Canis lupus familiaris: one gene and its partners. The protein of the gene in region 7 interacts with the protein of the main gene of each other region in a pairwise test. Links are inferred from orthologs where the notes say so. Each region holds a gene or a part of one and is shown on either strand. Other genes may lie near its edges. The genes, in order: FEZ1, PPA2, HOXC11, RNF20, SRRT, UBAC1 and HTT.

Region 1 (3,500 bases), on a different chromosome or scaffold from region 7:
AAGCCAATGTACTTTGAATTTAAAATTCCAGATTCTCAAGGACGCGGTATCCCTGGATGTAGGCAGGGTTTGTTTACCAGAACCGCCTGCTTTGGTTCTTCAAATTGATAAAAATGAAAATGTTTGGTCACCTTTATAGCACGGGGGGGGGGGGGGGGGGGGGGGCGGGGAGCTTGGGGACACTTGCAGGTATCTATCCTCAGCTGAACAGAAGAAACTCCTCTTGCCCCTCCTCCCCCCGGGGTATCCAGTGGCCCTGCGCTGGCCCCCAGCTCAAGCCACTGCCTCCGAGGCAGGGTGACGCTGGGCTGGGTGGCCCGGTTACTATGTCACTCAGTGAGGCACTCGGTTGCCAGGGAGATGGGCGTTCTTGGGATTCACTGAGCTGCCACGCCACCTCGCCACCTCGGCCTAGGATTTTTCTCTTCCTAAAAGATGCAGGCTGACACTGATGGCTAATACCATGTGCCCCGAGCCCTTGGGGCGTTGTTGTGTTTGATGTATGTAAAGAGATTTTGCCTACAAAAGGCTCTTTATCACACATTGGTTCCTCCCGTAGCTCAGGGTGTTGATTAATATTTGACAATAGAGCAGAGAAGAGGAGGCAGTCAGTTCCTGGAAGGAAGACTGTTCTTTCCAATCAGGCTCACTCACCCGCCACCGCCACTGCCACTGAAGAAGAAACCTTGCTTCTCCTTAAAAATGCAGACCAAGCCCCCTGCTGCGGGGCCATGAGGTGGGACAAAGCAAACCTCAAGTTGCCGCCAGAAGGACAGACAAGGCAGAGAAGGCGAGGCTTTGAGGCCTGCTGGGGAGCCAGGGCCTGCACACCAGTCCTGCCCCCACCTGCCGCCGACCCCTCTCCCCAGCTCATTCCTTCCTGGCAAAGCTCTGCCCTTTACAGGGAACCAGGGAGCAAACAAGACAGCTCTGGGTGCCACTACAGAGGACTTTGGCTTTGTCCCCTGTAGGGGAACGTGATGCACAGGCTGACCCAGCTAACGCTGCTCTTGGGGAAACCTGAGGCCTCAGACCCCAGGGGTACCTCTTGCAGCGGGGCAGGCAGGCAGGCAGGGAGGGAGGGAGGGAAACGAGCAGCCCATCTCGCTGGGGATGACAGGAACTCACTGTTTGTCAGCATCTGGAGATCTTCCACCGACGGGGGCAAGGCTTTCTTCTCGTAAGGGATGACCGTGTTCAGATACTACGAGACAAACACGGCACACAGGCCTTCAGACACAAGCACGGCCCCTCTGCGGTAAGATCCGTCGGCCATCCGCATGCGGACTGTGATTTTGCCTAACAAACATGCTCCCCGAAGGCGACACTCAGTGACACCCACGATCCTCTGCACAGCGCTGCTTCAGGACCCCTAGGACCCCTTCCCTGTCTCTGGGGGACATCTCTAAAACTAAGACTTAACCCTATTAGCCCTCCCTTCCATACAATACACTCTTCGGATGCTTAGAAGCTTGGGGATATTTAGGAGTCCTGGTGAGCTGTGCCTCCTTCAGGCTGAGCGCAGGGAACATTTCAAGGGGAGATGGTACTTCCTTATCCTGTGCCGGGTGATACGAAATCCAAGGGTCTCCCTTTTGTCAAAAATGACAGGGGAGAGAACCTCGACCCCGCCCTCGGTCTTGGACGTTGGGTTTGCTCCCTCTGCTGGATATGAGGTGCTTATACAAATAGATCATCCCCCCCAGAACAGGGTACCAGAGAGATCCTGGAGGTTGTGGGGGACCCTGGGGGGCTGAGGGTGAAGAGCCCCAGACCCAAAGGCCAAAGACATATGTTTGGCCCCTCGAGGTGTGGCCTTGAGAGGAGACCTAATCCCTCTGGGGTCTTAGCTCTCACCCCTGCAAAATGTGGCAATTGGGCCAGATGTTCCCCAAATCACTTCCCATGTTGCGGTGCTAGAATGCCAGCCCTTAGGATCCAGCTATGAATGTGTCTAACACACGCATACAACCAGGTAACTTAGTCCACGATCTCAAACGCATCCATTTATGCACATGCCTGTTCTATCAGGTTACGCCCTTTGGTGAGGGCAGGGCCAGGACCCACTCATCTTTGAACCTGAGGGCTTGGCAGCCGCTCAAAAAAGAAATTAAAAAAAGAAAAAAGTTCACCCTTTAAAAGACACTGTGTGTCCCTCCCTAAGAGTGCAAGAAGGTGCTAAGACCTCTCTGCCCGAGGGCTGGGATAATCCCAGGGGATCGCCACGTCCCGTTCTGCGGGGGAAGCCAGGTGGCAAGGGGCCCAGAGGGTTTCTGGGAGCCGGGGAACTGCTCATACCTGTTTGTCCGTTCCTGAGGAGCCGAAGGTCTGGCGGATGCCGCTCTGCAGAATGTTGGAGATGCCTTCCACGCTGAAGCGCTGCGGAGAGTGGGGGGTGCTCAAGAACAAGTGCTTCCCGCCCCATCGTCATCACCCCCTGGGGACTTCGGTGTCCTCCCTAAGCTACCCAGACCCACGGCTACCACCGGGTCCCAGATAACACCCGGTCTAAAACATAGGCCAACACGGAAGCCTGAGCTTTGCAAGAACCAGCTGTTGAGTCTCAAAGACTCTTTAACTCCGTCATCCCTCAGGGCAGCGGGTGGCCCCTGCACATCCCTGGTTTCCTCATTCCAGCTTCCAGGTGTACAGAGAATAAAGCAGGATGGTCCACCTGGGGCAGATGACGCCACAAGCATCTTAGGGAGGAGAACACAACGTCCGCAGAGCTACTGTCCTTATCCGGGAAGCCTTTCCCAGAATGCACAAGCCTCGGCCTGAATCAGTAGGTCTGGGACAGGGCCCAGGCCAAGGTATTTTGCAAAAGCTCCTTGGATGATTCCCCTGAGCCTCCCTGACCGAGAACCGCTGGTTGGAACCCTGTCAACATACCAGTAAGGCGTCAGAGTTTTCAATCCTGAGACACCCCACCGACACCTGGAGGAGGTGAGGCAGGACTGGGAGCAGGGGGATTCTGACCCCGAGTCTCAGGGCTCATCACCCCTCTTTCCAAGGGCTTGCCTCGGGAGCACATGCCACAGGCAAGGATTTTCCGATGTCCGCGACCCGTCTCCCCAGCTAGACCGAGGTCCTCGAGGGGAGTAAAGGAGACGGGGTGCCTTCTCCGTCGTCAGGGCCCTAGTGCGTGCCCGGGTCCTGCTTGCAGTCACCGCTCGGTCCCCGTCTTGCCAGTGCCGGGCCCCACGCGCCCCCTCTCCCCGCTGGGGGCTCACGTACCTTGAGAGGCATCTGGCTTCCCTTCTCTATCCGGCTGCTCTGCAGGCTCAGACCTTTCTCTTTCCGCCTCTTCTTCATCAGCTCCCGCTGCTCCTTCTGCTTGTTCTGAACCTCGATGAGCACCGTGATGAAGGAGTTCTTCACCTCCTTCTCAAACTCCAGCTCGTCCCGGCGGGCCAGCTGCTGCACCAGCTCCTCCGAGAAGTCCCGGATGGCGCCCTCCACCTGGTCCAGCAGCTCGGTCAGCTCCGACCCCGACAGGT
Region 2 (3,500 bases), on a different chromosome or scaffold from region 7:
TATTACTATTTTGTTAAGAAATGAAGTGGTAGTTACACATAATTAAAATAACTATGTTTACATATAGCATATTAAAAAATGCTAATTTTTCTACTCCATCTTTGCACATATCACAGTGTATTATAATTAAAATGTCTTTTTACTCAACAGTATCCCCTACTAAACTATAAATCCCTTGGGAAATGGGACTATGCCAATTCCTAGTTTCATAGTGTGCAGCACTTGGTATTACTTTCCATATTGGCACTCTGTAAGTTTTTTTTTTTAACGGAAAAAAAACTGCAATTCTCTTTTTAAAAAATCAGATCTGACTAGTGTAATACGGCTGTCTAGTGGCATTAATAACAAAGTAACATCACATAGAAAAGACAAATTCTTACCACTTTATAGCTCCTCCATCACACTTCTTCATAAGCAATGCTTTCCAGCATTCATGAGTAGATTTAATAACATCAAGAGCAAAAGCCTAGTTCCAAACCAAAAACGGACATAAAGATCACATCATTATACTAACATGGAACTACTCTCACTATGACACCTTATTTTTAAGAACATGAGCTCTGGAGTCAGGCAAACCTGAGTATAAATTCTGGCACCCTTATTTACCAGCTGTGATTTTTGAGCAAATTACTTAATCTCCCTAAGTCTTAACTTCTTTATCTACAAATAGAAGGTAATGAAGATAATTTATAGTTGGGATTGTCAAACTAGGGCCTGTAGGCCAAATCTAACTCACCACCAATTTTTGTAAATAAAGTTCACTGAACACAATCATGCCCAATCATTTGTGCACAGCCTATGACTGCTTTAGCACTATAATGGCAGAGGTGAGTAGTTGTGACAGAGACCATATGGCCTACAAAGTCTAAAATATTTACTATCTAGTACTTTACAGAAAAAGTTGCCAACACCTGATTTAAGTTATCCAGCAGTTGAGGGATGTCTGGTTGGTGAAGCGTCTGCCTTCAGCTCAGGGTATGGTTCCAGAGTCCTGGGATTGAGTCCTATATGGGGCTCCCCTCAAGGAGCCTGCTTCTCCCTCTGCCTATGTCTCTGCCTCTCTCACTGTGTCTCTCATGAATAAACAAAATTTTTAAAATAAATAAATTATCCAGTTGTTGAAAGGATAAGCTGTATGCAAAGTGCTTAGGCTAGTCCCTTGCCTGTAAGTAAGCATAAACCTATTAATTTCATCATCATCAAAACTGCAATCTAGCTGCATAATAATTTTAGAGTATCCACTGTCTAAAGGCATTTATCATTTTCAAATATTTTCTTGGTATAAATTCATATAATGTCCCCAAATGCAAAATCAACAATATATACCTCTTAAGTCTGTCTAAAGGAACACTTATTAAAGCAGTATATTCTTTTGTTTTTTTCCTCCAAAGATTGCTAATTTTCTAATTTTCCTTAATAAGAGTCCTTATATATTAACTAATTCATACTACCTCCTTTCTCCTTGACAACACATGCTAAGAAGTGAAGAAAATCCTTGGTTCCAAAGGAACCAAGATGTAATAATAATGAGAAATTTACTGCTGAAAAAAAAGCTCTCTCAGCTCTCTAGTTGCTTGAGATGAACAAGTATGGCTCAGTGAGGTCATGTTGGGGAGTCCCAGCCAAGATGTGGGATAAAAAAGACAATATTGTCCAGATAATATAAGAAAATATTTTTAACCAAATCATTCAGATAATTATGATTATTTAGAATCACTTTCCCAGTACTTGCTTAAAGAGGTCAGGAGGAAAAATCTAGATAGCACGGGAATCATCTTTTCAAACATGGTGAAAAGATACAACTTAATTTTCCTGAGATAGGCACTGTATTTTAAACAGAAGTGGTAAAAAGCAATGCATAAGATGATTATGCTCTAAAAATTAGGTTGTATAAATGATCTAGTCTTCATTCAGAAAGAATTAATATTTATCAAAACCAAGCAAAAAAAAAAAAAACAAAATCCAGCAACTCCTAAACCACCTGACTCTATAAATTCATGATTTAGCAATCATATCCTGAGGCAGAAAGAGCTCAAATATAAAATACAACATTTTTTACAGGAAAAAAAAGATAAAAATACAATTTATCTTATAAATTTTCAATATTTTACTTTTAAGTAAGAGTATCCAATCGAAAATAAGAGTTTTATAACCACATTGAATAAATCTTAGACAAACCCCTCAAAATCTTAAGGCTTCTTTTAATGTGCCTTTTCAAAAATACTAAGTCAAGCAATAAATTCTTATATAGCAAAATATTTATTATAACTTGTAAGTTTCCATTAACATGACTCATTTTATTTACAAAACATATGTTACTTACGAGTACCCACTTAAATGTTGGGGTATACATAACGTAATTTATATAGTGGTGATAATTTTTTAAAAAATATTCTATGTCAGGGATCCCTGGGTGGCTCAGTGGTTTAGCACCTGCCTTTGGCCCAGGGCATAATCCTGGAGACCTGGGATCAAGTCCCATGTCGGGCTCCCTGCATGGAGCCTGCTTCTCCCTCTGCCTGTGTCTCTGCCCCCCTCTCTCTCTGTGTCTCTATCATGAATAAATAAAATCTTTTTAAAAAAATATTCTATGCCTTAGACTTGACGTTTTTGGCCCATTTTCTCCATTTGTGTCACATTAGAACACTTCATGGTAATTTTGTAGTATTCTAATAGAAAAATCCTATGACAGTAACATAATTCAAGTGCTTTCCTAATTGTTAAACAGCTTAAGTCAGAAATGGTAGAATGTACACTTAAGGGGGAAGCCCTCTTTGGATTTACATTATGGTAAGTAACTTTCTCCTGTCTAGAATAGTAAATGGAAGGTTCTTCTTCATACACAATTTGCAGTTAGACTGATGATAGAAATCCTTCATTTTCTGAGATGAAGGAGATATCAATAAAGAGATGAATACACATATGTATCAAGTGTTACTGATTCACTTACATCTCCTGAAAAAAAATCCTTTTAAATAAATATGATAAAATAATGCCCTTACATATTAGTCAGTATAAAGCACTTTTGTTACCATGTTATATACAAATACTCACATAAGAAACTCTCACAAACTTCAAGTATCATACAAGCACCACAAGGTAAAATAATGTCTTTAGAGTCACTATAAAGCACTTTTGTTATGTTATATACAAATATTCACCTAAGAAAGCCTCGCAAACCTAAAGTATCAAAGAATCATCACAAGGCACGTTTTATAATAAAGATCATTATCTTTACCTTGTTTTTGAATTCTCCATTAAAAGCAAACTGGTTTTCTGGTTTTCCTTCTGGCACCTTATAAAATCTAAACCAATTAAGCGTAGCTTCCAAGTAACCTGGTTTGTACTTCTTAACATCATCAATATCTGCAAGTGAAGGAACAAGATACTTTCTGTTAAAAACTGAAATTCATTCTTATTAATGGTAGAACACTGGACTGAGGGAGTCCACCTTTATGGCTAACTTGCAGCATAATAATCAACATGTATCACCTCTGGAC
Region 3 (3,657 bases), on a different chromosome or scaffold from region 7:
ATTTAGCTGCCCCCCAGCAGCGGGGGGTAGGTGGGGCAGGGGTGGGGAGCCCAGGAAGTCCCCCCTGGCAGACACCGTGTCTTAGCAGAGATCTTCTCACTGGGCAAGGGAAGGCTTTCGGTCCCAGGATTGCTCGCTCAGGCACCCACTACCCTCGCCCCCGCCCAACCCGAGCAGCAAGACAGTGTCGCGAGGTGTGTTTTCTTTTTAAATAAAGAGTCTTGGCCTTGGCGCCAACCACGTCCACTCGCCGTGGGTTAGACACTTCCCTTCACCCTCTTTCCAGGCCCGTCCCTGTCCCACAGCGAGTCGGATGGAAGGTGAAGGAGGTTCCAGAGAGAAGCGCGGGCGCCAGCAGTGGGGGCCAGCCCTGGCCACAGTCCAGTTTTCCACCCGCGGAAAGAAGGCGAGTTAGAAAATAAAAAATAAAAATAAAATAAAATAATTTCTCCCCTTTCTTCCCCCCCACCCCACCCGGCCCCCGCCCCCAGAAGGGCCCGGTCTGCGGTTACAGCAGAGGATTTCCCGAGAAATACTGCAGCCGGTCTCTGCTCAGTTTTTTTTCTTTCATCCTTCTGTTCTGAAACCAAATTTTCACTTGTCGGTCCGTCAGGTTCAGCATCCGGGACAGCTGCAGCCGCTTCTCTTTGTTGATATACACGTTGAAGAAAAACTCTCGCTCCAGTTCCCGGATCTGGAATTTCGAATAGGGGCAGCGCTTCTTGCGGGTGCGGGGGGCGTCTGGAGGGGAGGGAGGGGAGGGGGCGATGCGAGGAGAGGGGAGAGAGACACGTGAGACCCGGGCCGCCCCGCTCCCAGCCCGCCGCGGCCGCCCTCCCGCCGGGCCTGCCTGCAGACGGCGCCCGGGCCCGGGGCTGGCGCAGGCCCCGGACCCCCCGCCGGCCGGGCCCGCGGGGTCGCCGCCCCTCCCCGGGCCCCGGGGCGCGGGGGGGCGCCGGCCAGGTGCGCCTTGGGGCTCGGCCCGGCGCTGCGCGGCCTCCCGGGGGCGCTGGGAGCCCCCGCCCCGGCTTTGCGGGGCGCAGTGGAGAGGGGCGCGCGGGCCGAGCGCGCAGGCACCGAGGCCTCCCGAGAGCCGCGCGCGGGGCCCCGGAGCCCGGCGGGCCGCGCCTTCCACGCTCCCGGGCTGGGCCGGCGCCGCGAGGCCGCGGGGCGCGGGGAGGCTGAGCCCCGGGCCGGGCCGCAGCCGCCTCTCCCCAGCGCCCCCCTCCCCGTCGCCCCGGGGGGCTCCGCGCGGGCCCCGGAACGCACCCTCGGCCCGTTGCAAAAAAAAGCAGCTTTTCAGAGCAGCCCAGCCGCCCCGGTCTCAGGTTCTGCTCCATTGCTTCTCCCCCCACCACCACTCCCCCTCTCCGAGTTTCTCCCCGTCTCTCCCTCGCCCTCCCCTTCCTCCCCCTCCACCCCTCCCCTCCGTCCCACCCCACCCCCGGCAGCCCGGCTCCCCATCCTTCCTTCAACGCTCCTCTAAGTTCACGATCAAAGTTAATATCGCTCGCGATGGTGGCGCTTTTAAAAAATTTCACAGACCGAGGGAGAGATAGCGGGGAAGGGGGGGGGGCTCATTCACCCGGCTTTTCCAAAGCGCCCTTTTCCCTCCCTCCCCACCCCTTCTCCATCGTAAAAAGTCGAGTCGTTGGGAGAGAGGGCTTTGTAGGTTATAATAAAATCCTTTGAATGCTTATAAAACTCCACATAAAACCGGACTGACCCAAAACACGAGGCCGCCCCGCTCCGCGCTCCGCGCTCCCCGCTCCCCGCGCCTCCCCCCTCCCCGCGCCCGCCCGGCCGCCGCTACCTACTGGGGGCGGCTCCCTTGGCCGGCTCCTTGGCCGCCGCCGAGTGGGCTGAACCGGACGAGCTGGGGTTCGTGCTCTCCTCCTCGGCCTCGGCCTCGGCCCCCGCGTCCGCCCGGGGCGCCAGTCCCGAGGCCGGGGTCGCCTCGGGCTCCCCCTTGGCCTCGCCCTTGCCGGGGCAGGGGGGCTCGGCGGGCGCGTCGCCGCCGCCGCAGTAGGCGTTGTCGAAGAAGCGGTCGAAGGCTTGGGGCAGGACGCTGTTCTTGCTGACCGAGGAGTAGAAGCCGGCGGGGGCCGCGTGCGGGGCGCTGGGGTGGTGGTGGCCGCCGTAGGAGCCTTCGTTTTTCATGAGGATCTCGGTGACCGTGGAAGGAGGCAGGCACTCGCGGTGCATGAGCTCGTCGGCCGCCGCATAGCAGGAGGAGTAGCTGTTCCGGGGGTGCCACTTGCCGGAGGGCTCCAGGCCGTAGGAGACCTCGCGGACCGGGGGCACCTGGGCGGAGTAGGGGTAGGAGAGCTGGCGAGAGGGGGCCTGGGGCAGGAAGGAGGAGACCGTGGAGAACTCGGGCACGTAGTAAGTGCAACTGGGCAGATAGAGGTTGGAGGCGCAGCTCCCTCGCTCGCCGAAATCAGCGCCCCTCTCCTTGCGCGACGGCGAGCAGAAGTTGCCCAGGTTGACCGAGTTAAACATCGTTCTCCTCTCCTGCCGGCTCCAGATGGAGGTTTTGGACCCGATCTGGCGAGGGGGGAAAATTTTGGGAAGGCGAGATGACGCGTTATCCGTCTTAGTCTCTCTCCCCGAGCACGTGATCCAAAGTAGATATTGTCATATATCAGTTCGGAGCACTTCGCAGACGTAGGAGGGGTTCTCTCTTAGGTAAGATGGGGACGTTCAGGCGATTGGTTTGCAAACACCGCAGAAACATTATGAAAATCAATTGCAGATTTGTATTCGTTTTTCTCTCGTCACTCCCCTCCTCTCCATTCCACAGAGCGAGCAAAGGAGGAGAGAGAGAGAGAGGGTTGGGGTGGGGTGGGCGGTGGGATGGGCGGGGGCGGTGGCTGGGAGGGGGTAATTGTATTTTTTTTTCCCCTAGCTGCTGCTCTTCCTCTTCTCCCCCCACCCTCACCCCAGGATTAGGAGTAGGAGGTGGGTCTTGCCCACGTCTGCAGGTGGGGGGGTCTTGCCTCCTCCGGGAGATGAACCCAAGACCGAGGTGGGGATGAAGTCCTCCTTCCCCACCGCCTGGTTCAGCCGGAGATGTGAATCCTTCCCCCTCAACTCTCAGGGACTCTTACCCCGCCAACCCGCAGAGGGCCAGTGCCTGTTTACAAGAGTTTGAAGAAGTCCATCCTTTTCTTGGCCAGGGCTGTATGTCAAGACTCCTTTTTCTCTTTTGGAGAGACTCCTCAGAAGAGTGTGTGAAGTTTTCCAAAGGTGAGGCAGCCCAGCAGCAAGCCAAGTGTCCCAACTTTGTCTGGCTTGCTGTGCTGCCTGCGGCTAGGGACTCAGATTAGTCATAAACGAGTGGTAAGCAGTGCGCCAGCCGCCCAGCCGGTGCCTGGCGAAGTCTGGGAAAAACCTTCTCTAATGTTGTGTTAAATATTTAGTATGAGAGAGTGGCCCTGGGTGAATATTTCATGCCTGCCTTTATTGTCAATCAATGTGCAGAAAGCTACATCCACTGTGGATTTTTAAATCTCAAACCCCACAGATAAAGATCAGAATGAGAGCCATGTATTCTCTCTGTCCGGGGGGTCCTTTGGGTTGGGGGCTCAAGCCTCAGCTTGGGGGCTGAAAAGATGCCCAGAGTCAGGGTTCAGGAAGTATATGAAGGGAGGGGGT
Region 4 (4,094 bases), on a different chromosome or scaffold from region 7:
CTGCATTCTGAATTCCTTAACTCTAGTGAGTATCTCCCCCATTGTGCTTCAGCCACACATTTCAAAGGCCATATCTTGGACTTCTGTCATTATCTGTAACTCTGTCACAACTGAGACCTTAAATTCCTTGAATAAAATCTTATCTTTCCAGATACCTTGTGCCCTTATCCCCATATACCAATCCTCATCTAGATCTTCCAGGATTTTAATTCTCTCCTTTTTCCTTGTCAATCCCTTCTATCTCCACTATCTTCCATACTTGACCTCAACTTGTGCTCAGGATCTCATTCCCTTCTGTTTCTGCAAAAATATCACTCCATCAGTAATTCCACACCTCTCTCAGTATCTTTAACTTTTCACCCTAACCTCTTCCCTAGGACAAGTTGGGAGGTAGAGGTCAGGGAGGGAGAACCCTGGCACAGAAACAAAGGATTGGAAAGGATTACACTTTTACTTTACCTCGAAGTTCATGAATATTTTAAAGTAAGCACTGTTTATTAGAGCACCAATATCCTGTTTTGCTTTTATTCTCCTTCTTCCATTTTATTCTCCTTCTTCCAGTGTTAAAACACTTGATATGCCAAATTAGTCAATAGTTCCAAACGTATAGTTATTAATACCATTAATAAAAGATATCCTTAACCTCTTCTCTGAGCCCTCCTTTCCCCTTCTTGCTCTAACTGAAACCAGGATGAGAATACGGTTTCCCTGCACATTTCTCCAGCACTGCCCTGGGCCAGAAACAGGCAGGCATCCTCCTGCCACCCTGCCTTCCTGCACTGGTCTATAAATGTGCCGATTACTTCCCCATGTTTCCTTAAGATTTAGTACCTAGCTTATCACTCTCCAATGCTACTACTATCACGGTTCTTACTGATTACAATTCCCATATAGATGATCTTTCCTGTATCTCAAATCCTCAAGTCGTTGACTTCCTTTCCTCCAATGATATTGTCCTCTACCTCCCTCAGCCACCAAACTCTGTTATTCTTATTCTTAGCCTGAGCTGTACGTGTATGCTCTCTATAAGCTGAATTTCAAACACCCCATTTTCCACAATTACCACCTACTTGTCCAGCTCATTCTCTCGGGTTCCCTGATTCCTCCAATTCTTCACTTTCTCCAGCACCTACAATCATTGGTCCTCTATCTTTCCCATCCTTCACTCCTCTCACTTCCTCACTCCCTTTCTTTCTTGAACTTGAATTCCATGATCAGTCATAATCATCTCCTTTTAGAACCTCTTCCTTCCTTGCTCCTTCTCCACACCTACCTGGTAAAAACCCCACCCGTGGTATCATCCACCTCTCCACTACTCCAGGCCTACATCCATGCAGCTGAATGTGACCACAAAACAAAGTACCGTGCTGCCTGGGCTCACTTTATCTCATGATCACAGAGTCAGGTAGGTCCTCAGTGCTGCCCAGCAACAATACTCGATCTCTCTAGTCCATTCCCTCTTCAAGATGACTACTTCATACCTTCTCCTGTCTCTTCAAACCTCCAACACTTCCTCCCCCATCCTCACTCTCAGATGAGTCGCCTCTGATTTCACTGAAAAAGAAATAGAAGCAATCAGGAGAGAATGTCCACATCTATCTCTCATAACTGCAACTACTGACCTACCTACAACTGAACTCATATCACTGTGTTCCTCTTTGTTGCTATGGATCAACTGCCCCTGCTCCCAGTTAAAACCAATTCCCCACTTGTATGTTACATGCCATGCTCTCTCCCCTATTCATGAAATTCACACCAGCAACCATCTCCTCTTTCTACTACCTCATCAACTTTATCATCTCTACCAAATAATTTCAATCAACCTGCTGTAATAGCTCCTATCGTAAAAACAAAACAAAACCACTTTCCCTAAACCCCACATTTCCCTGTGGCTAATGCCCCATTTCTTTGTCTTGCAAAGACAAAGTCATCAATACTCCTGCAAAGCACGGTCTCTACCCTCTTTTCTCTAATTCCTCTCCTCTCCTATTCTCTTCAGCTCACTCCAATCAGACTTCTAGCACTACCACTCCATAAACACAGTTATCAAGGCTCCCGAGAACCTTCCACTGCTAAACCAAATGTCTCAATGCTCCCCCTACTCAAACCATCAGCAGCACCTGAACAACTCCTTCCTGAAACTCTCTTCATTTGACTTCTGGGCCCCCAGTCACTCTTGTTCTCCATCTACTTCATTTTCTGTCTCTTTGCATCTCTTTGAAATGAAAACATCACAGCGCTTCAGGGTTCTGTTCTCAATCAAACCTCTTCTGTATCTACACTCGCTTAGAGCCTCTAGTCTCATGGATTTAAATACCTCCTCCCAAATGTACAGCGTTACCCCGACCTCTCCTCAGACTGCAGATTATAGTATTCAACCACCTACCCACTCAGATGTTTAATAAGTATCCCAAACTTGCATGTCAAAAATCAAATTCCTGATTCATCCTCCACAGCTTCCCAAAAAGTATGTTCCTCTCCTACTTCTCCCTAGCTCAGTAAGTGGACAGTCTATACTTACAAATTTGGGGATTTCATAAACTTCATCCACTCCACCAGCAAATCTTGTCAACACTACCTCCAGGGTGACCCATGCAACCATGATCCCTCATCAAGATTACTGCAATGTGTTGGCAAATTGAACTCCAATAAAAAAATAATAAATAAAAAAGATTACTGCAACAGTCTCCTGTAGTGGACACTTTTGTTCCCCATGCCATGTCCTGTCAGTCTCCCAGACTTCAGCACAGCCGTGGTGGACAGCTCCATTCATACAGGCAGTGTTCCCACCTCAAGCCACCTGGAATCTTTTCAACTTTTGTTCCACAATCTCAGCTGGCTCACTACAGCAACCTTGAAGTGCAGAAGAAGAGATATTGCCTATAAAGGCAACCTTCAACCAACTGGGGCAGGAATCAGTGGAGATATGTCCCAACTCCCCACCCATAATGGGAAGGAGAAGAGGGCGAAGGAACAAGGGAACAATTTTGCTAACGTTTCAACCTCTAAATCTTGCTCCTCTATAATCTATTCTCCAAGCAGAAGTCAGAGCATGTTACTCTCCTGCTTAAGACCTTCTAATGACTTGTGGATAATGTCCAAACTGGGATGAATCCTGTCTGCTTCCCTTAGAGCCTATGGCTATTTATCCCTATGAACATCACATCTCCCACTCATAAATATTAGAACAGTCTGGTCTCTTGGCAGTGCCATCTTAACAAACTGAAGTCCAGGGGTTGTCTTCAGTGTAAAGCATAGTATTTAGAAATAACAGATGTTCAACAAATATTTATATTTACTGAATTAGCAAATGTCCTTGGGATGCATAACGTGATTCAGTGTTAAGACAAAATCACCTCCTGGCAGCAGTACAGAGTAGTTGAACCCCAGACAGACTCAGAAATGACACTTCATCAACTATTTACTCTGAATGTTCCCATTTTCTCTTTCATCTTGAGCCTAATTCAAATAAGGAAGAGATGTGGTTTCATAAGCTATACAAATGTAGCATTTTAACACCATATCCCCATGGCTGAGTTTCAGAATACAGACTCCTAATCTAGATCCACACTTATTATAGTGAACTTCTGATGTCTAATGGACATATAACATTACTCTAAGCTTCTGGTGTAGAACAGTCTAATGAATCTGTCAACTCCATAATAGCAAGGACAGTATCTATCTTATTCACCATGATAGTCATAATACCTAGCCCAATAATTATTATTAATAGCTCACATATATGGAGGAGTACTTACATATTAAAGGTAACATTTCGACCCTTAACAGGGGCTCTTTCATTTTATCATCTCAACAACCCAATGAAGTAGGTACCATATTAAATTTTATAAACATGGAGAAGAGGCACAGGGAGGATAAGCCATGCAGCTAGAAAGTGTTAGTGCTGAGAGTGAATTCCAGGAAGTCTGGCCTCAGACTGTGACCCATCACAACTCTCTCAGTGATTTTGGAACACCGCCTCTTAGTACCTAGCACCTAACTTTTCAGTGAATGAAAAATGACTGTACAGTTTCCCACTGTTGAATGCCTATAATCAATGTGTATCAGGCACCACACTCTCCAGAGATCAGAAG
Region 5 (2,839 bases), on a different chromosome or scaffold from region 7:
GGGGCGCCTGTGTCACATACCCCGTGGAGCAGGGCTTCAGGGAGAACTGGAGAAGCTCTACTCCCACTTCGCAGGGGGTGGGGGGCCTGTGATGGTTGGGGGAGATGCAGATGCACAATCCAAGGCCTTGCTGGGAGTCTGCCTGGGACCAGGCACGGAAGCCTATGTTCTGGTATTGGACCCTCACTTCTGGGGTGATCCAAAAAATCCCAGTGAACTACAGGCGGGTGGCTGGGTGGGATGGAGAGAAGTGGGCACAGCCTTTGACCCCAACTCCTTCTACAACCTGTGTTTGACGAGCCGCAACTCCCAACATCAACAGCATGCCCTGGACTGAGACTAGGGTCCCAGAACAGAGATAGTCTCTGGCCCCGAACACACTCACCTATCCCCTTTTCTCAAAGATAAAAAAGCTTGCCTGGGCCCTTGGAATCAATAAAGTGGTGAAGCTCATAATCATGGCCCCAGCCAATCTTTGGGAGAATTTGGGGAGGTATAAATCAATCACTATGGAAGTGCTTTTATTGGCAGTAGGGTTGGACGTACAAAAAAATTCTCAGCTGGATGGGATGAGGCAGTCACAATTCTAGACGATACCAGGAGTGAGGAAAAGTAAATGGCTCAAAAGAAGTCCACATCATCTGGAGCATCCAGGTCACGGTATTCCACGATGGCCCGTGGGTCTCCTCGGACCATCCTGTGAGATACAAAAGAGTTAAGATGGGAGGAGAGTTAAGGCTCTCTGAATGGGAGCCTGAAGGGGGCAAGGAAAGTCTGAACATCTTAGCTCATTCTCACCTATTCCGAGGCTTCCCAGGATAACCTTGACCTCGGAAGGCATCATAGTTCCCTCGGCCAGCACCATAGGGGGCATGAGGGTATGGAGGCCCTCCCGTGGGGACTGCAGGGCGTACAGCACCAGCTATGAAAGAGATCAGTGTTGAGCTGAAACCTGTGACCTCAATTCTACCTGGGTTCAGCTTCCTTTCTCCCAGCCCTCAGTCACTACTAAGCCCTTTCACATCTCCCCTATACTTACCTCCATACCCCAAGATGGGGGGCCGGGGCTGACCATAGGGCATCAGGCCCTGGGGAGTCTGGTGCGGGTAGGGGAGTCCCGGGGTCAGGCCTGGGGGGAGTACAACATGGACAGGAACATGAATTACTGCGGGAGGGGGAGATGGGGAATGACAACTGGCTTTTAGAAACACTTCCTGAGAGTGGGATAGAAAGTTTTCAGAGAATCCCAGGATATAAGAACCAGGAGTCCTTCAATAGTCAAAGGAGAGGGAATGTGGCAGACCCTCATGGATCGTATCTTACTCTGGGCAGGGCCAGGTGGCTGGGCTGGCTTGATCTCAGGCAGAGCTGGGCGCTTGGCATCAGTGAGAAAGTTGTTAAAAAATGCCACTTCCTTCTTCACTTCCTCAATCTTCTCTGCATGCTTGTTGAAGATATGTTTGCGTACAAACTCAGGGCCCTGGGTAAAGAAAGAGGGTCAGAGCAGAGCAACCAATGTGGAAGGGATAATTAACCTCCCAGCCCACCATTTCCAGAGCCAATTTGACCCCAGGCCTGAGGAGGCTTCCTGGCTCAACCCCCTCCACCCACACTTCTAACACAGAACTCCCTAACATCCCAGACCTTGAATTTCTTGCCACTGAGAGGGCATAGCCACTTATCCTTGCCCAGTTCCTGGGTGTTAGAGGTGACAAACTTTTCCACTTCCTGCTCAGGGTCTTTGCGACCCATCTTCTGAGCCTCTTCCTCGGAAAGAGATTCCCGTACACTCAGCAATGGAGTCAGCTTCTCCTCAAACGTCTTCTGCCACTCTAGCACTGTGGTTTGGGAACACAGAACAGTGGGGTGGAGAAGGGAATTAGAAGCAAGAAACAAGGAAGGGATAAGGGGTGCCTGGCTGGCTCAGTCGGAGCATGTGACTCTTGATCTCAGGATTGTGAGTTTTAGCCCCACCTTGGGTTATAAAGATTACTTTAAATTCTAAGGAAAAAAAAAAAGAGAGGGTGGTTAAGGCACCGTTACCAGAACAGATCTAAGACCAGAGGCAGCTGAGAAGAAAGGGAAACCAAAGGGAATCAGAAATGGGGAAGCTGGGAGCCCACCTTCTCCATGACTGATGCGGTTGGGCGGCATAGGCCCCCGAACATGGATGATGCCACATCGGTTGGGCATTTCATCCTCATTGGGGTATTCGCAAGTGTTATAATAATCCAAGGAATGCACAATGCGCAAATAGAGAAGGAGTTTGTCCAAAACCTGAGGGAAATAAAAATCTGAGTTCACCATACTCTTCTAACCCCCTTGCTGCCCCAAGCCAGGGCCCTGCCCGCCTGCTCTTGCTGGTACCTTGATCAGTTTTTCATCTCGCTCCACATTGATCTCTGCTGGGTTCCCTTCCTTAGGGGGTTCCTCAGGGGGAGCCCCCCCACTGCTCCCCAGCAGCTCCTCCTCCTCCGCACTCACTTCTTCAATCAGATAGTCAGTGATATTCTTCAAGATTGGGTTCTGGGAGGGCAGACTCTGGTAGAGAGAAAGAAGAATGGCAAGTGAAGCAGAGAAAACTCTTGAGGCAGGTAGCCCAGGAAGCTAAAGCAGAAAGGAATCCAGGGTTCACTTGGCCTGTTAATACTGCTTCATTATTTATCTTTTATTTATTCTATCCTAGCCAATAAACCATAACTAATGTCAGTCCATTCTGTTGGAAGCTGGAGTATCTGCGCAGACACAGAGTATAAGAACTGGGGGTCAATGCTACAAGACATTGACAAGACCAGAGGTGCCTATCATAGACGATATGGTATTGGCTGCTTTTTAAAAA
Region 6 (4,208 bases), on a different chromosome or scaffold from region 7:
TGCACTCCCTACCTTTTATGACAGCAGACACCGCCCCCCCCCGCAAATCGTCAATCGTCTTAAATTCAACACTGGCTCTGCTCCCAGAATTACTCAGTGTGCTTCTTCTAATTCTGAAATTTGCAGGCTAGTTGATTTGACAAGTTCAGAATACAGTCTATGAAACACAATTTTCCAAAACAATCCTCATATGGTTCCTGAAAAAAAAAAAAAAACTGTACTCTGCAGCATGTCAACACCGTGCCAGGAGCACAACGCAAGCATGAGTCATCCATACTGTGCACAATTACTTCATTCTGTGTCTTTGTTCTCAGCAGAAGCACTCTGAGCATGCTAAAATACGGCAGCGAAACAGCCCCAACAAAGCCCATCACCAGGGCAGGGAGGCTCTGACCCCTCCTGAACCTGCTTCCTCCCCAGAAGAGCCAGGAGGTGGTTCCGCTCACACTTGATATCATGTGTCGTCCAAAGACACACTGTCATATGATCTAAGAAATGTGAACGGCCATATTAACAGGTGCCACGTTACACAGCAGCAATTTCATGAAAGATCCCAATTTATATAAAAACCCAAAAAGAGGGGATCCCTGGGTGGCTCTGTGGTTAAGTGCCGCCTTCGTCCCAGGGCGTGATCCTGGAGTCCGGGGATCAAGTCCCACATCTGGCTCCCTGCATGGAGCCTGCTTTTCCCTCTGCCTGTGTCTCTGCCTCTCTCTGTGTGTCTCTCATGAATAAATAAAATCTTTAAAAATAAATAATACCCAAAAAGAGAAAATAAACAGAGACAATCCATGTCTCTAAGAGTTATAAAGATAATACCACTCATTAATAAAGCAACAAACTCCCCAGAGGACCGTGGAAATGGGGTGGAGGGGGTACGGAAGAAATCCACACTGTCCCCTTCGCGGAAGAAGGGAAAATTCCTGCCAGCTCGAGCATGCACCAGGGCAAAGCAAGGAGGAGGAACAGAAGCCCGGGCACGCAGTGAGCCTCACTGCCGGCAGTAGCGGGACATACAGGGGATGGTTTCCAGGGTGACATTCAAGTATACACCTTGAGAATTCTCTTTCCTAACTAATGCATTCTGGCTGCCTACAGAAGCACAGGCACAGACGTGGGAATACTTGCTGACAGCTCAGCTCTCGGGTCCTGTGATTTATGCCGCTCCTCCACACCTGGAAAGACTGCAGAGTGGAATAAAATCTCAATTTAAAGGAGGAGAGTGCCAGAAAAATCCCAAACGACACACCTCAATCCCGACTGGAATAATAAATATCAGGTAGATAATAATTAGCATCTTATTCAAATTGGCTGCCTAATGAACCCCAAGAGCTCCTGAAATTCATTAGCAAGCATCTGCGGATCAGTCAAACAGTTCTCATTTCCTGCTCCCCTTCATAAAATAATATTATGATAGCTATGTAAATGAGTGAGTTAAGCTAAATGCCATCCCAATTTACCCCCTGACTTCTCCCTCCCTGACTCAGCAGGTGTCAGGCCATGTCCACGCAGTCCCAGACTGACACTCCATCTCCATGTATTCCATTAATCCACACGTTTGTTTGGGGCCTGCAGGGAGCCTGGCTCTAGACATGCAAACACAGGCCCCGAGGGCCCTCGAGGAGTTTCTGTCCTTGATGGGCCAGACAGGAAGGGGACACAGGACTCCAGTTTTGTTTTGTTTTGTTTAAATGTACATCACTAGACCAGCACCGGTGTGTATCTCTAACAGCCTGGATGCACGGGGAGCCCCCCTAACAGCCTGGACACTAGGGGAGGCCCCCCAACACCCTGGATGCTCAGAGAGGCCCCCAACAGCCTGGACGCTCAGGGAGGCCCCCAACAGCCTGGACGCTCAAGGAGGCCCCCAACAGCCTGGATGCTCAAGGAGGCCCGCAACAGCCTGGACGCTCAAGGAGGCCCGCAACAGCCTGGATGCTCAGGGAGGCCCCCAACAGCCTGGACGCTCAGGGAGGCCCCCTCACAGCCTGGACGCTCGGGGAGGCCCCCAACAGCCTGGACGCTCGGGGAGGCCCCCTCACAGCCTGGACGCTCAGGGAGGCCCCCAACATCCTGGATACTCAGGGAGGCCCCCTCACAGCCTGGACGCTCAGGGAGGCCCCCTCACAGCCTGGACGCTCAGGGAGGCCCCCAACATCCTGGATACTCAGGGAAGGCCCCCAACATCCAGGACACTCGGGAGGCCCCCAACAGCCTGGACGCTCAGGGAGGTCCCCCTCACAGCCTGGACCCTCGGGGAGGCCCCCAACAGCCTGGACGCTCAGGGAGGTCCCCCTCACAGCCTGGACCCTCGGGGAGGCCCCCAACAGCCTGGACGCTCAGGGAGGCCCCCTCACAGCCTAGATGCTCAGGGAGGCCCCCAACAGCCTGGACGCTCAGGGAGGCCCCCAACAGCCTGGACGCTCAGGGAGGCCCCCTCACAGCCTAGATGCTCAGGGAGGCCCCCAACATCCAGGACACTCGGGAGGCCCCCAACAGCCTGGACGCTCAGAGAGGTCCCCCCAACAGCCTGGACGCTCAGGGAGTCCACTGCCGGCTGGCTGGGTGCTGTCCTGGGGGTTTGGGACCTGAGGAAAGCACTGACACAAGACAGGACTGCATGCCTGCCTGAGGGTGTGAGCCCAGAGCCCCCTCCTCCTTGACGTGAGTCCAAGACAGCGGTGGCTGCCTGATGTCCAGCACGTTCCAGAAGGGGGCTTGCACTGGCCACCAGAACGCTCTTTGGCCTGCAGTGGACGGTTACACAACGACTCCTCAGAACCATACTCAACGGCCCCAACGATCTCCGTGGGTAGTTACTACCGTAACCTGGAGTTCACCCTTGGAGCAGACGCTTCCTTTAACAAAACACCTGTCAGCCGTATAAATACCAAACTCAGCATGTGGAACCCGCACTAAAAGGCTGACAAGAACACTGCATCGCGCCAGGTGCAGTTCCCTTCGGGAGCCAGAGTCCCAAGGGCCACTTCCCCGCCCCGGCTGAAAAGTTTCCGGAGATGAAGCCAAGGAACTAGCTCCAAAAGTGAGCAACCCACGGAGCTACCCGAACGAGGCGCCTTCCCCACGAATAAACCCTGAAAGGCGGCGGCCTCCCAGGCAGCGGGCAGGCCCCGGCCAGTGCGCCCCGCTCGGTGGCCGCCCCCGAGAGGCCGAGCGAGCGGCCCGCCCCGGCCCCGGCCCCGGCCCCGGCCCCGGCCCCGACAGCAGGCCAGCGGGCAGCCCCGGACGGCCGGCCTGAGCGGACAGGCCCCTCTCTGCGCCCCGGGCGCCCATCCCCCGCCCTCCAGGGCCTCGCCCCCAGGGCCGGCCGGCGCAGCTGCTGGAGGGCCACGAGGCTGGCCCGCGCGGCGCCTTCGCGGCCCCTGCCTCAGTTTCCCGGCCTGCCCCACCCCTCAGGCTGCTGCAGGAGCTCACGACCCGGGAGCGCGTGTGGAGGGGGCGGGGGGCGGGGGGCGGAGGGGCCGGCCTGGGGCCGCCGCGCGGCCTTACGTGCTTGAGGCAGCGCTCCTTGAGCTTCTCCACCGACGTGTCCTCGGTCGCCTCCTCCAGCCACTCGGCGCCGTCGGACGCGCAGATGTGCAGCCGCAGCACCTTGCCCGCGAAGATCTTCTCCTCCTGCACGAACATCGCGCCGCCGCCGCCGGGCCTGCGCCCGCCGCCCGGGCCGTGAAGGTCACCGGGGCGGGGCCAGGCCGCCCGCGCGCTCCCCCGCTGGCCGCCGCCGCCCCGCCCCGGCTCCCCTAGGCCAGCCGCCCGACACTTGCCGCGGGCCGAGCGGTAGCCTGGCTCCCGCCGCCGGGCTGCCGGGGGCGCGCTGCCTTCGCCGCGCCGGAAGTGCGTCACAGCGCGACCGGAGCATGCCGGGAGATGTGGTTCTCCGGCGGCCTCGGCGCACCCGCCGCCGCGCCGGAATGCGTCACAGGGAGAGCCCGGGGGCACGGCGGGAGCTGTAGTTCTCTTGCTGCGCCTCCATCCCGCCCCTGCTCGGTCCGCTGGCACGCGGGCCCTTGGGTTTGGAGGTCCGTTCGGAGACGGGCTCCAAGTGTGAGATACGCGGCAGATCTCCAAGAGTTCGAGGCGATGACAAATGCTCGATGTTGTCTTTATATTGATTATATCTTGAAATAACTGCCTGGGTGTACGGGGTTCGGTAAGGAGTATTGAAATTGAGCTCCCTGCTGCTGCTT
Region 7 (3,951 bases):
CACAAGGGCAGAGCTTTATCTGTTGATTGCTGCAGCCCTGCAACTATTAGCACAGAGGCATACATTAGATGCTCAGTAAATATTTATCGATGGATGAATAACTAAAGTCAGGTGGAAACCAGGTGGGAATCTGAAGGACAGTAAGAAAAGCACTAAACACAAATGTCAACTATCTCATAATAGAGTTAGGACCGTCCCCACCTCTGGCACTCCCCTGCATGCCAGCCCTGCTGAGATTCTAGCCGGTCCCCTCCCACAACCCCAGCATCCCTGCATCCTACATGCTGAGCAGCAAGCAGGCACTAAAGCCCACGCATGGCTGTGACACTACAGCTCCACACAACAGAAGAGAACCATAAAAATAGAACAGATACTTTCTAAATCATTTTTGGACAATCCTGCTTTGGGGAATGGATTTTTCAGCTGAAGCACCTGAACAGAAATGCCAGGATCCAAACTTGTAAGCAGAGTCTGTTACTCAAAATTCATAAATTTCTACTTTCTCAACAGCAAAGTGCCTACAAATATGATATTTATGTATTTTATTTAAAATAACTACTATTAGGCCCATCAATGTAGTTGATTTCAGAGCATGCTAGGAAGCTTTAAAAGTTACTACTCTGAAATATTTCTATTTTAAATAACTCGAAATCTCTCTTCATGTATCCATGGGTTCTATCTGTAAGGGTACAGAAGGAAGAAGTTTAAGAGAGCTTGCCTCTGGGAACACAGTTAGGTACTCAGGAGAAACAGACGGAAGAGAGACATTTTAATTATTATATTTTTGTAATTCAAGAATTTGCATCATGGGAGTGTACTATTTACATGAAAATAATAAATTACGCTTTTTAAATAAGTCAATCACATATGACCTTAAAATAGGGTAATAAAACAACATCTATCTACTTTTGCAAGGGCAGTTTTAGAAAAAAAAAAAACCTACTTTATACCCATATTTTGAAGATAAACAAATTCAGATTCTGTCAAATCAGTGTAAGAAACAGATGGCACATTTTTAGACTGACCAAGTATTTGAACAAGCCTACAGTGACAGCAGTAAGGTCTCCCTTCCCACCCAAAGCCCTCCCTCCTTAACGCTTCCTGTTATACAAGACCCATGCAATGTGTGAACTTCCATGACATCTACCTCCTAGAGAGAGGCAGTCCAATAAAAGTCTGGGATGAATTATGATGATAAATTACCTGATGTAGAAAGAACTCAAATTATTTTTTAAGTATTTTTTTTCTCGAAGCATCCAAACAGGTTTTTCACCTCTTAGAAGAAAAATTAATTTACTTCTAAAGTCTATCCTAACAGCCAAGTCAACATCACTCCCCAAGTCATTTTCTAATTGAACTCTCAAGACATGGCAAGGACCACGTCAGAAACACAAAGAATAAAAAAACACTACTAAAATTGAACGTGACATTATAAAGGGGCTGCCCCTTGGAAACTGTCCTCATTAAATGCCACCACGCATCCAGATGGCAAACCCAGACGCCGGGGGAGAGAGGCCCGGACCGCCGCCGAGCACTCCCGCACTCCCGAGCTCACGGAGCCCGGGGAAAGTACCTGGGTTCCGCCGGCAGGAGCGGTCTCCAGGCACGAGCAGCAGAGACCCCTAGCTTCCAAACAGTAGCACGCAGGCGTCTCCAGCGAAGGAAACAGGAGCCACCCACAGGGACCGCAGGCAAGCCGAACTCCGAGCTGGTGTAATGCACATCATTCCTCCCCCAGCGCTGAACCTCCCTCTCGGCAACGGGTTGTTTTTATTGCCAAGTGAACACAGGCAATAAACTTCAGGCGACTCTTCCTAATAATGACCTTCTAAGCAGCTCACCACTTCCTTGGGTCTGCAAACCAGCTTGAGCTTAGACACGCGAGCGGATCTCCTCCTGATGCCAGCGGACACGCCTCGGGAGGATGCGGGAAGGCAGCCTCGAGGCGCAGAGAAGAGCCCCGCGGCGCCGGGGCCGCACTCCCGCGCCCTCCCCGCCCCCGCGGCCTGAAGGCATGATGTCACCGCTCTCCCCCCGCCCCACCCCCCGCGCTCGCTCCCAAGCCCGGCTCGCGGCGGGGTGTCCGGCGCCCGCGCTCCTTCCTCTCAGGGACGCCCAGGGGGAAGGGAAGCGGCGGCCTCGGCTATCCAAGTTCTGCCCACAGCACAGCCCGTTTCGTGCAGATACAAAGCAGCAAGTTCCTCCCCTAACTTCGCACGCCGGGAAAGGCGGGGGGCCGAGGCCGTGCCCGCCTCGGTGCCCTCGGGGGCGGCCGGCGAGCCCGAGTCCGCCTGCCGAGGGGCGCAGACACCCCCGGGGCCGGGTCTGGCCGCAGGACGGGCGGCGGTGCGCGCCCGGGGTTCGGGGAGCCGCGGGGCCGGGGTCTGCAGGGGCGCCGCAGCCCCCCGCCGTCGCGGGGCCGGAACTGCCGCGAGGCGGTACTCACGGTCGGTGCAGCGGCTCTTCGGCCACCGCCGGGCCCGGGGGCGGCGGGGGCGGGGGCGGCGGGGGCGGCTGCGGTAGCGGCGGCTGCGCCTGCGGCAGCGGCTGAGGAGGCTGAGGAGGTGGCGGCGGCGGAGGCTGCTGCTGCTGCTGTTGCTGCTGCTGCTGGAAGGACTTGAGGGACTCGAAGGCCTTCATCAGCTTTTCCAGGGTCGCCATGGCGGCCTCCCGTCCCGCGGGGACAGCCCCCCGAGCCCTCGAGCCGACCGGCGGCGGCGCTCAGCAACGCGGCAATGAATGGGGCTCGAGGCCGCGGACATGAGCGGAACCAAGGAGCCCGGCCATCTTGGACCCGTCCCGGCAGCCCCCGCGGCCGTGCGTCTCTCGACGCTGCGCCGGCGGGGCGGGGCCAGGGCGGCGGGATTGACAGCCCGGGGCGGAGACCTCTGCCAATGGCCGGCCTAAGCGCCGGCCTAAGCGCCGCCTGCCCCTCCCGCGCCCGCCCGCTCGGCTCCCAGCACCGCCGCGCGGCTGAGATCACAGCCCCACTTTCCGGTGGGGGCGGGGCGGGGCCCGGCGGGGCGGAGGATGGGGGCGGGGCCGGGGCGGGGCAAAGAGGGCGGACGAGGCAGGGGACGCGGCGGGGAAGCACCTGCGGCGGGAGGGGCGGAGCGGAGGAGGTAGGGCGCAGGGTGGGAGGCGGGGCAAAGCACAGGGTGCAGGGTGGGGGCGGGCAGTGAGGCGGGGCAGAGAGGACGGGGGCGGGCGGGGGGCGGGACAAAGAGGGCGGGCGTGGCAGGGGGCGCGGCGGTGAGGCACCTGGGGCGGGAACGGCTGGGCGCGCCAGGCAGAGGATGGGGGGGGGGCAGGGGGCGGGGCAGAGGTGACAGGGCGGGGGGTGAGGCACGGCGAGGCGGGGAGGGGAGGGGAGGGCCTAGGACAGGCACCCGGTAGAAACCTGCCGGGTCAGTGCCTGCAGCCCGCAGAGTCTGTGGCTGGTGCCACGAGCAGCCACTTAGACCCCAGAGGCGCCACGCATAGCAATGATGGCCCAACCCTAACGGGTTCGCTTGGAGGAGAAGACCCTTGCTCCACAGAGGTCTGCAGGGCACCTCCTGCTTAGGGTGGGTAGGCTCTGAGAAGGGTCCTGGGCTCCAGAGCCCCACTCCTTGGAGGCGAGGAAGTGAGCCAGCAGAGGACCACAGAGGGCGGTGGCGCATCAGGGGGCACCCTGCCTGGCAGGGAGTGGGTTGGCCCCAGAGAGAGTTGCCTGGGGAGGGGAGAAGGGACGGGGGTTGATGCATGCACTATGAACCCTCCCGATCCCACTCTGCCCACAGGCCACAACTCCACCTTCTCTCACCGCCAGTCAGTTGTCCCAAGTGGTCAGATAAAGGGAAGCCCAGCGGCACCACAGAAGCATTGCCCCTGAGGGGAGAACGACAGGACCCCCCCCCCTTCAGGGAAAGGACATCAGAGAATGTGCCCCCAGCCTGGAGGGCCTAGTTC

Evidence for each region.
Region 1: the proteins of HTT (region 7) and FEZ1 interact in binary tests that used the Homo sapiens proteins (3 or more experiments, as listed by UniProt). The link is inferred for Canis lupus familiaris from reciprocal best matches to the Homo sapiens genes HTT and FEZ1.
Region 2: the proteins of HTT (region 7) and PPA2 interact in binary tests that used the Homo sapiens proteins (3 or more experiments, as listed by UniProt). The link is inferred for Canis lupus familiaris from reciprocal best matches to the Homo sapiens genes HTT and PPA2.
Region 3: the proteins of HTT (region 7) and HOXC11 interact in binary tests that used the Homo sapiens proteins (3 or more experiments, as listed by UniProt). The link is inferred for Canis lupus familiaris from reciprocal best matches to the Homo sapiens genes HTT and HOXC11.
Region 4: the proteins of HTT (region 7) and RNF20 interact in binary tests that used the Homo sapiens proteins (3 or more experiments, as listed by UniProt). The link is inferred for Canis lupus familiaris from reciprocal best matches to the Homo sapiens genes HTT and RNF20.
Region 5: the proteins of HTT (region 7) and SRRT interact in binary tests that used the Homo sapiens proteins (3 or more experiments, as listed by UniProt). The link is inferred for Canis lupus familiaris from reciprocal best matches to the Homo sapiens genes HTT and SRRT.
Region 6: the proteins of HTT (region 7) and UBAC1 interact in binary tests that used the Homo sapiens proteins (3 or more experiments, as listed by UniProt). The link is inferred for Canis lupus familiaris from reciprocal best matches to the Homo sapiens genes HTT and UBAC1.

Annotation. Positions count from the first base shown.
Region 1 is NC_049226.1:9,054,029-9,057,528, reverse strand, and holds part of FEZ1 (fasciculation and elongation protein zeta-1), read right to left. Parts: coding exon 3,238-3,500; intron 2,380-3,237; coding exon 2,299-2,379; intron 1,205-2,298; coding exon 1,129-1,204; intron 1-1,128. UniProt on the Homo sapiens protein: May be involved in axonal outgrowth as component of the network of molecules that regulate cellular morphology and axon guidance machinery.
Region 2 is NC_049253.1:13,629,372-13,632,871, reverse strand, and holds part of PPA2 (inorganic pyrophosphatase 2, mitochondrial), read right to left. Parts: intron 3,367-3,500; coding exon 3,239-3,366; intron 467-3,238; coding exon 381-466; intron 1-380.
Region 3 is NC_049248.1:45,362,697-45,366,353, reverse strand, and holds HOXC11 (homeobox protein Hox-C11), read right to left. Parts: upstream 2,510-3,657; 5' UTR 2,503-2,509; coding exon 1,818-2,502; intron 1,361-1,817; exon of another isoform or gene 1,270-1,360; intron 742-1,269; coding exon 509-741; 3' UTR 501-508; downstream 1-500. UniProt on the Homo sapiens protein: Sequence-specific transcription factor which is part of a developmental regulatory system that provides cells with specific positional identities on the anterior-posterior axis. Binds to a promoter element of the lactase-phlorizin hydrolase gene.
Region 4 is NC_049232.1:58,596,613-58,600,706, reverse strand, and holds the start of RNF20 (E3 ubiquitin-protein ligase BRE1A), read right to left. Parts: upstream 2,801-4,094; 5' UTR 2,770-2,800; coding exon 2,678-2,769; intron 1,555-2,677; coding exon 1,482-1,554; intron 1-1,481. UniProt on the Homo sapiens protein: Component of the RNF20/40 E3 ubiquitin-protein ligase complex that mediates monoubiquitination of 'Lys-120' of histone H2B (H2BK120ub1).
Region 5 is NC_049227.1:8,828,862-8,831,700, forward strand, and holds the end of SRRT (serrate RNA effector molecule homolog), read right to left. Parts: intron 2,542-2,839; coding exon 2,368-2,541; intron 2,278-2,367; coding exon 2,124-2,277; intron 1,839-2,123; coding exon 1,645-1,838; intron 1,481-1,644; coding exon 1,324-1,480; intron 1,142-1,323; coding exon 1,040-1,141; intron 923-1,039; coding exon 799-922; intron 698-798; coding exon 622-697; 3' UTR 501-621; downstream 1-500. Other genes in the region: UFSP1 (inactive Ufm1-specific protease 1), read left to right, coding at 1-337. UniProt on the Homo sapiens protein: Acts as a mediator between the cap-binding complex (CBC) and the primary microRNAs (miRNAs) processing machinery during cell proliferation.
Region 6 is NC_049230.1:49,424,990-49,429,197, reverse strand, and holds the start of UBAC1 (ubiquitin-associated domain-containing protein 1), read right to left. Parts: upstream 2,801-4,208; 5' UTR 2,786-2,800; coding exon 2,606-2,785; intron 1-2,605.
Region 7 is NC_049224.1:61,750,089-61,754,039, forward strand, and holds the start of HTT (huntingtin), read right to left. Parts: upstream 2,801-3,951; 5' UTR 2,662-2,800; coding exon 2,447-2,661; intron 1-2,446.